Cricetulus griseus: one gene and its partner. The protein of the gene in region 2 interacts with the protein of the main gene of each other region in a biochemical or structural test. Links are inferred from orthologs where the notes say so. Each region holds a gene or a part of one and is shown on either strand. Other genes may lie near its edges.

Region 1 (4,265 bases), on a different chromosome or scaffold from region 2:
GATGGGCTGTGACACCCCTCAGGCCAGGACTTCTCCAGAGTAGGGCTGACCCTGCCCTTCCTGACTGGTATTCTCAGAAGCCCGGCTATGGTGACCTCTTACTGGGAAGACTTCCTGAAGGCAGAGCCATGTCACCTCCCTCAGGCAAGGCCAGCCCCCCTGCTGTTCCAGGGGTCTTACCTTGAAGAGACGGAAAGCAGTGAGCCAGCAGGTCCGGCTCTGCTCATCCTCACTGCAGAAGATGTGGAGGCCCTTGTGGCCATTTCGAAGCTTGTTGGGCTGGGAGAGAGGAAGTGGTCTGTCCCCTGTCTGATTCTGTGCCCAGTTGCCACGGGGCAAAGAAGGGCCCAAGGACTACCCAGATGTGCAGGTATAGCGGTAATTGGCTGGGTTTCTCAAGACGGGGTTCACAAGCCATAGGCAGGACACTAGAATTTGGACAGCTCTCACCGCCCCCCCACACACACCAGGCCTTGCTTGAGTCCTCACCTTGACACAGAAGCCGAAGTCCGTGGGCACCCCATAGAGCTTGCGGCCCTGGGTCACCACATAGGCATTAGACTCATTCACATCTGCCACATACTGTAGGTGCCTCGGGTCCTGGGCATGGTGAGAAAGTAGGGCTTGGTACAGGTAGGTCCTATCTCCACATTAGTGCCCCACCAGGTAAAGAGAGTTTAGGACCAGGGAGAGGCAGGGAAATACCCATGTTCACACAGCAGATAGAGGCTGAGGAGAGGGCTCAGTTGGTAAAAGGCTTGCTGTGCAAGCAGGAGGACCCAAGTTTAATCCCCAGCACCCACTTAAAGAGCTGGATGTAATGCTATACACTTCTAATCCCCGTGTGGGGTTGCCACTCAGCCTGACCTAATCTGCAAGTCCTAGGTCCTAGTAGGGACCCTGTCTTCAAAAACAAGGTCCTGAAGACCTGAGACCAATGGTGATGGCTAACAATGTCTCTCTCTCCCTCCCTCCCTCCCTTCCTCCCTCTCCCTCTCCCTCTCCCTCTCCCTCTCTCTCTCTCTCTCTCTCTCACACACACACACACACACACACACACACACACACACACACAGGCGCCTATGTTTTCTACTGCCATTCCTAGGGTAGGTGAGCCAAACAGGGGTTGGGATGGATAGATTCTGGCATGGCCTGAAGACAGCCAGCCCAAGGGGAAGGAAGAGCAGCTGAGGATCCCCGGGCCCAAGATGGAAGGGTCAAGAAGCACTAGTGAGGAAGAAGTACATGACAGGCGAGAGCTGACCTCAAGACCTCACCTTGGACGTGCCCTTGGTGGAGTAGTAGAGGCCGGACCGGCGCAGAAAGCAGAAGAACCGTTTCCAAAGCTTTCGGCCTGAGCCCCGGCCAGAGCCCCGAAGCTGCAGAAAGCCCTGGATCTCGGGGAAGCTGCCGGCATTCAGGAAGTTCTGGGGACAGATGTGAACAGGGGTGAAGGGCTTGCCTCCTCTCAAACCTCCGCAGGAGGTGCTGCACCAGCACTGACTGCCACCATTTCACCAGCAAAGGTCACCATGGTGGCGGCAGACACCAACAAACACAGATCAGATCACACATGGCAGCAGAGGGTAGAAACACTGGATGACTTGGGGTAAGGGGGTAGGGAGAATTGTGGATCTATGGTGAGGCAGACCTCACCTGGATGAGGTCTTCATGAGATGTGCCTGTTTGTGCATCCAGACAGCTGGAGACCATCTTTTCTGGGAACAGTGTATGCTAGGGAAGAAAGAAATAGTTAGGAATCAACGCTCAAGAATCCAGGCTAGGGATCTAGAGTGTGTGTGTGTGTGTGTGTGTGTGTGTGTGTGTGTGTGTGTGTACACCCAGTTCCCACTCACCGGGGGGCTCTTGAACAGTTCATACTTGGCAAAGTTTTTGCGGAAGACAAAGCGACTATCTCCACCAACAGGCCAGGCCTCCTGCACTTCCACCACAAACTCATGGTCCTCCACACCCCGCTCTGAGATCAAGGGTGAAAAGCAGGGGTTGGTAGAAATTAACCAAGCCTCACAGATGAGCCACCTATCTTGCCCAAGACATCGCCCCACAGCTCCTTGTACCCCGACTCACCCAGTGCTAAATAGGGATGGCATTCCACCAGGCCCCAGCTCTCATCACCCAGGGCATGGGCTCGCTGTACCAGCATTTCACACACATGTCGAGCTGTGGCACCCGCTGCCACCTCCACAGACCGGCAGGTCCCATCCTCACTGTACACCTTCACCACCTGTACCCCAGGAACTGCAGGTTACTTGGGGCAAGGCAGGGGCGGGGGACTCTACTCTCTGACTTATGTTCAGGGACCTGCACCAAAGAGGCGACACCACATCTGCCCGGGGCTGGGGCAGCACTGTCCCCACTGTTCCCTTTCCCAAAACAACTCACATGGAGGCGACTGGAATCTCGAGAAAGCAACCCCCTTGCACTGGAGGAACCTCCAAGAATGGGTTTCTGTGAAGGCGGGCTGCAGAGCTCAGGGAACGGGTTGGGGATGGAGGGTAGCGAGGTCACCTGAAGCTCCTCTTCTCGAAGTTTCCTATGTCAGAGTTGAGGGATGGAAGCCACTATGTGTTAGTCAGTGCTGGCTCGCCTCCCTGTCCCCAGACCTCCCTACCCATGCAGCCCCACTGTCCGATCCTACCTGCTGCTTGGAATGGGCAGAGGCTGTGACCGCTTCACATCCCCAGCTGGAGGGTTATCAGGGGGTGGAGGAGTCTCAGGAGGGGTCCCAGGAGCTGGGCACGCATCTTCTGGGGAGCTGCTGAGATGAGGTGGGCTCAGATCCAGTTCCATGGTACCTGTGAAGACAATGTTGATGCCATGTGCTATCGCTGATCCCTTCAAACTGCAGTTTCCTCGGAGCCCTCAGAGGGGATACAGGGCACGCCCACTTCATAGAAAGGAACACTGGGGTCCTGAGAAGGAAGTACGCATGTGCCCAGTGGCATTCAGTCTGGTGCTTGGGACTCCAATGCCAGTGCTCTCCCTGCAGCAACACCAGCTCAGGGGAAAGAAGAGGTAGGCTCCATGCCACATGTCCCTAGCTGGAGCCACAGGGTCAGGGCAAAGGCTGTTCATGCCACTGGGCTCTGCCCCAGATTTTTCCAGCACTTTATTGTTCTAGCACCTGTTGCCAGATGCAGTTTGCCAGGCCTGTTGTGGTAACACCTGGCAGAGAGATGAGTGATAGAGAGAGGCGATTAGGAAGGACAGGATCAGGAGGGCAGGACCATGTGCTCAGGTTGTGGTGGAAACAGGAGGCCTGGGGGGCTCTTACCCCAGCACCCACAAACTCGGTGGGCCTTCCCAGACTCCTCATCCCACCCAATTTTTACCCAAAGCCACAATGATAAAGCCACCTCCTATGGATGAGAAGTTCTCTTGGACTTGTCACACTCAGCCTGGTGCTGGGAACTCTACCCCCACTACTGTGCACCTGTCTTAACCCATCTCTGGTCTGAAAGCACCTGGCACACATTAGAGTCTCACCTATGCCTTAGCACCCACGGGTGCAGAGAAGTTAGGACAAGTAAGGACAGACGAGACCAGGCAAGGGGTTGGGGGTGGGGCAGGTTCCAGCCTTTCTCTGCAGGAACCAGCAGACCCCATGGTGCTGAACCTGGCAGAACCCAGACAAAATGCCAATCCCAGTATCCTGCCTGTTCTCCAGACCCTGCATCAGGACTGTGAGGCTGCCCAGGACACCTGGGAAGGTTCCTGGCACCAGGATAGGACAAACTCTTGACCCTTCTGTGAGGGCATGAAGGGATCTGGGGGACAGGTGAGTCAGGGCGGGGCGGGACAGCTATGCCCCAGGCTCCCCATTCAACTTTGACTCATCTATAGGACTTCCTGGCTGAGGAGGAACACAAACAACCTGCCTCTGCCCTCAGTCCCTGACTCCCCAACCTACAGGTAGCCTGGGAGCAAGGGGTGCAGGCTGGGGAAAGATGAAAATGGGAGGAGCAGCCCGAGGCTCCTCTGACATCATCCTCCCCACCCTTGGCCAGTGTCCAGCCCAGGTGGGACTAATCATCTGCCCACCTTAGTCCCAAACCATCACCCTGCCTATAACCCAGGGAGGTAGGAGGAAATGCCCGGCCTGGATCCAGGAGCCTATCAGGATTGGAGCCGACCTCCTGGTGATGTGCAGGCAGCATCCAGTCCTGCCTAGCCTAGGTCTGGAACCTGCAACTCTCTTCGCTGTTAATTATCCTAGGATGTATGCTGATGCATCTGGCCTTGGG
Region 2 (3,513 bases):
AGCCACCATGTGGTTGCTGGGAATTGAACTCAGGACCTCTGGAAGAACAGTCAGTGCTCTTAACCTCTGAGCCATCTCTCCAGCCCTAAAAGTAATTTTTTAAGAGACAATAGAGACTCAGGTCCAAGAACCTCTACATATAAAAGCTTCTTTCAGAACAAACCTATTGTGGCACCGGGAGCCCCAAACTGAGCTCCTAAACAGAGGAGACTCCACTCCCACCCCTCTTGAGTATCTCATTCCCCATCTCTGGCTCACTACAATTTTTCTTGAATTAAACTCCCGAGCTTATTCTAGCTTCCCCTAACGGTGGTCTACTTTCGTGCTGTGAGTTTCTCTTCCTCCAGTCCTTTACTCTGTAGCTGGAAGTGAATTTTTTTTAGATTTATTTATTTATTATATATATAGTGTCCTGCCTGCATATATGCCTGCCAGAAGAAGGCACCAGATCTCACTACAGATGGTTGTGAGCCATCATGTGGTTGCTAGGAATTGAACTCAGTAGCTCTGGAAGACCAGCTAGTGTTCTTAACCACTGAGCCATCTCTCCAGCCCTGGAAGTGAGTCTTAAGTAGCTGAACCTCTCTTCTTGCTTCTCCCCTCATCCTAATTAAATGTCCCCACTCCCCCACCTCCTTTTCATCCCATCACTCACCCCTGAGTGCAGTTCTCATGGCAGGGCCGACATTCATTCTGAGCATCTGGGTACTTGTAGATTGGACCCTTGGCACCTAGGATTCCATGGGGGCAGCTGTTGACACAGTGGGGCCCATCACGGAAATGGGTACATTGAGCACAAGCCTCAGAGCCCTGAGTAGAAGAGGATTGTGGAGAATGAGATCTCAGTATTAATTCCAGCCTTTATCCCTTCAGGATTCTCATGTACAGATCCCAGGGTTCTCAGGCTCCCCTGGGAATTTGGCCATATCATTCTGTAGACATTGCCCATCTCCCTCACAGATCCCAAGGCTGCTACTGTACCGAGCCATTGCACGTGCTGGTGCCCTCCATGGGAAGGCATTCTGGGTGGCAGGAGAAACATTCACCCTCATGAGCAAACTCCCGAGGCTCCCTGCAGTGGGGGACAGACAGAGGGAGGTCACTTCCAAAGTTCTGACCTTCATGCCCTTATTCTGTAATAAGGGCTTTCTGCTTCATGCTCACCAAGACACAAGCAGAAAGCTGCCTACAAAGCCAGGGGTGGTGGCTCACATCTGTAATCCCAGAACTTTGGAAGCTAAGGCAGGAAGATTTCCATGAGTTCAAGGCCTGCCTGGATTACAGAGTGAGACCCTGTATAAAAACAAAAGCTAGCAGGCAGGCAAGCAAACAAGAAAGAAATAGAGGACCAGATGTGGTCATGCACACCTTTAACCTCAGCGCTCAGGAAGCAGAAGCAGGAAGATCTCTGAGTCCTGTCTGGTCCTGCATAGCAAGTTCCAGGCCAAGACTATAAGGTCCTGTCTGTCTGTCTCTCCCTGCCCCCACTCCCTCACTCCCTTGCTCCCTTCGATCGAGCCAGACACGGTGGCTCATAGCTGTAATCCCAGCATTTGGAAGGTTTAGACAGAAGGATTTAAGGCCCGTCTGGGCTACAGAGTGAGTGGGGGGTGGGAGGAGGGGGGGAAGGGAGAGTGAAAATCACAGTTCATTAGCGCCTGAACTCCTCCATCCATCCCTGGGCCTTACTCCACCCTCTTGGCATCCTCCACACTGTACCCTTTCAGGAAGTTGCAGTGAGTCACACAGACACCTTCCCGGCTGTAGTTTCGACAAGACAAGCACTGGCCAGGGCCTGGGCCCCAGCATCCCCCGGAGGAGCACAGTGGGTCACACACTTTACCCTCTGCCTCTGGAAAAGAACAGACAGGTTAAGAAAAGACTCAGGACTCCCAGGAAGCCTTCTTCTGAACAGTTCTTCATTGCTGCCACGTCCCACGTCCTTACTGGCTCCATCCCTCAAGCCTACTCCACTTTGAGGGTCTCACCTCCCCAACCACCAGTTCTTACTCCTGGTAGGCCCTTCCTCTCACCACATTCTCTCGGAGACCGATTATACTTGATGTCAAGTCTGTCATCCGAAGGCCCCCGGAGCAGTCTTGTCCAGTTCAGAGAATGGTGGTAGCAGAGCTGCTGATTGGCACTTATGTAGACACGCCCAGCACTAATTTCCTTCAGGGACCGGAGGCCCAGGGATGTGACATTCAGGTTCTTCATGATCAACAAGGAGAAGCCCCGGCTGGAATAAGGAGGCAGAATTAGAAGGCAGACTATAAAGGGAAAGTGGGATTTATTTCCACTCAACAAATTTGCTCCAGGCTAAGTTAGAGCCATGGAGAGGGATTCCCTCTTTTGGCGGGATTGTTTTCTGAGACAGATCTTACTACATCTCTGAGGCAGGTCAGGAATTCACTATGCAGCCCAAGCTGGTCTTGAACTTGCTGTGACCCTCCTGGGTCAGCCTCTGCAATGTTAAGGTTACAACCCCACATTTGCCCCCCCCCATTGTGTTAGCAGACTACTGGGGGCTGTTGGTTGGGAGACGCGCTGTGTTTCATAAGGAGACGCCCATCGCAATGTCTGGAGAAGATATCACCTCCACCTTACTCACTTGTAGAGGCTTCTGCCCCCGATGGTTGTCAGGTTGGAAAACACACTGAAGTTGTGCATGTGAGGAGGCCAGGACTGGATGTTTAGGTACCCTGAGGGGTTGGAGAGAGGCATATAAGCAGGGAGTCTTCTCCTGCCCTCAGGTTCCCTGTCACTGTCCCACTGTGCCTTGGAGTGTGACTTTTTTTTTTCTTTCCTTTTTTTTTTTCGAGACAGGGTTTCTCTGTATTGTTTTGAAGGCTGTATGGAACTCTCTCTGAAGACCAGGCTGGACTCAAACTCAAAGAGATCCATCTGCCTGTGCCTCCCGAGTGCTGGGGTTAAAGGCGTGCGCCACTTCTGTCCAGAAGAGTGTAACTTTTTTTTTATTATTATTTATATACAGCATTCTGCCTGCATGTATGCCTGCATGCCAGAAGAGGGCACCACATCTCCTTACAGATGGTTGTGAGCCACCATATCGTTGCTGGGAATTGAACTCAGGACCTCTGAGCCACCTCTCCAGTCCTCGAGTGTGACTTCTCTTAAGTGGTTTAACTATAATGCATGTCGGTGGGTCATCTGCTCCTTCCAGCAAAGGAAGTCTTTGATCTTCCTCACCTGTGATCTCCCGGACCGTCCTGAAAACATTGAGCTTCTCTGGGTCCAGCGCAGGGATCTTGTGCCAGGGGTCTCTGGGGGAATAGTGAAAACTTTTCAACAAAGAAGAGGCATGCATGACTCAGTGGTAATAAACACATCACACCTCAAAACACAGTTTCCAGATGTCATTTTTCCCTGCTGTGCCGGGGATCAAACCCAGGGCTTTAAATATGCTAAGCAAGCTGTGGTATTATAACCCAGCCTCTTGGCTCCTAAATCATAGTCTTCATCCTAAGGAAACAGAACTCCTTGGAGAGGTGC

What was found.
Region 1: the proteins of Erbb3 (region 2) and Grb7 form a complex in vitro, tested with the Homo sapiens proteins (2 studies listed by BioGRID and IntAct, with this or other methods). The link is inferred for Cricetulus griseus from reciprocal best matches to the Homo sapiens genes ERBB3 and GRB7.

Annotation. Positions count from the first base shown.
Region 1 is NC_048600.1:111,572,256-111,576,520, reverse strand, and holds the start of Grb7 (growth factor receptor-bound protein 7), read right to left. Parts: upstream 2,812-4,265; coding exon 2,660-2,811; intron 2,555-2,659; coding exon 2,404-2,554; intron 2,246-2,403; coding exon 2,089-2,245; intron 1,979-2,088; coding exon 1,857-1,978; intron 1,735-1,856; coding exon 1,657-1,734; intron 1,428-1,656; coding exon 1,278-1,427; intron 601-1,277; coding exon 490-600; intron 280-489; coding exon 181-279; intron 1-180. UniProt on the Homo sapiens protein: Adapter protein that interacts with the cytoplasmic domain of numerous receptor kinases and modulates down-stream signaling. Promotes activation of down-stream protein kinases, including STAT3, AKT1, MAPK1 and/or MAPK3. Promotes activation of HRAS.
Region 2 is NW_023276806.1:129,327,168-129,330,680, reverse strand, and holds part of Erbb3 (receptor tyrosine-protein kinase erbB-3), read right to left. Parts: intron 3,285-3,513; coding exon 3,211-3,284; intron 2,703-3,210; coding exon 2,612-2,702; intron 2,240-2,611; coding exon 2,034-2,239; intron 1,853-2,033; coding exon 1,720-1,852; intron 1,073-1,719; coding exon 982-1,072; intron 811-981; coding exon 656-810; intron 1-655. UniProt on the Homo sapiens protein: Tyrosine-protein kinase that plays an essential role as cell surface receptor for neuregulins.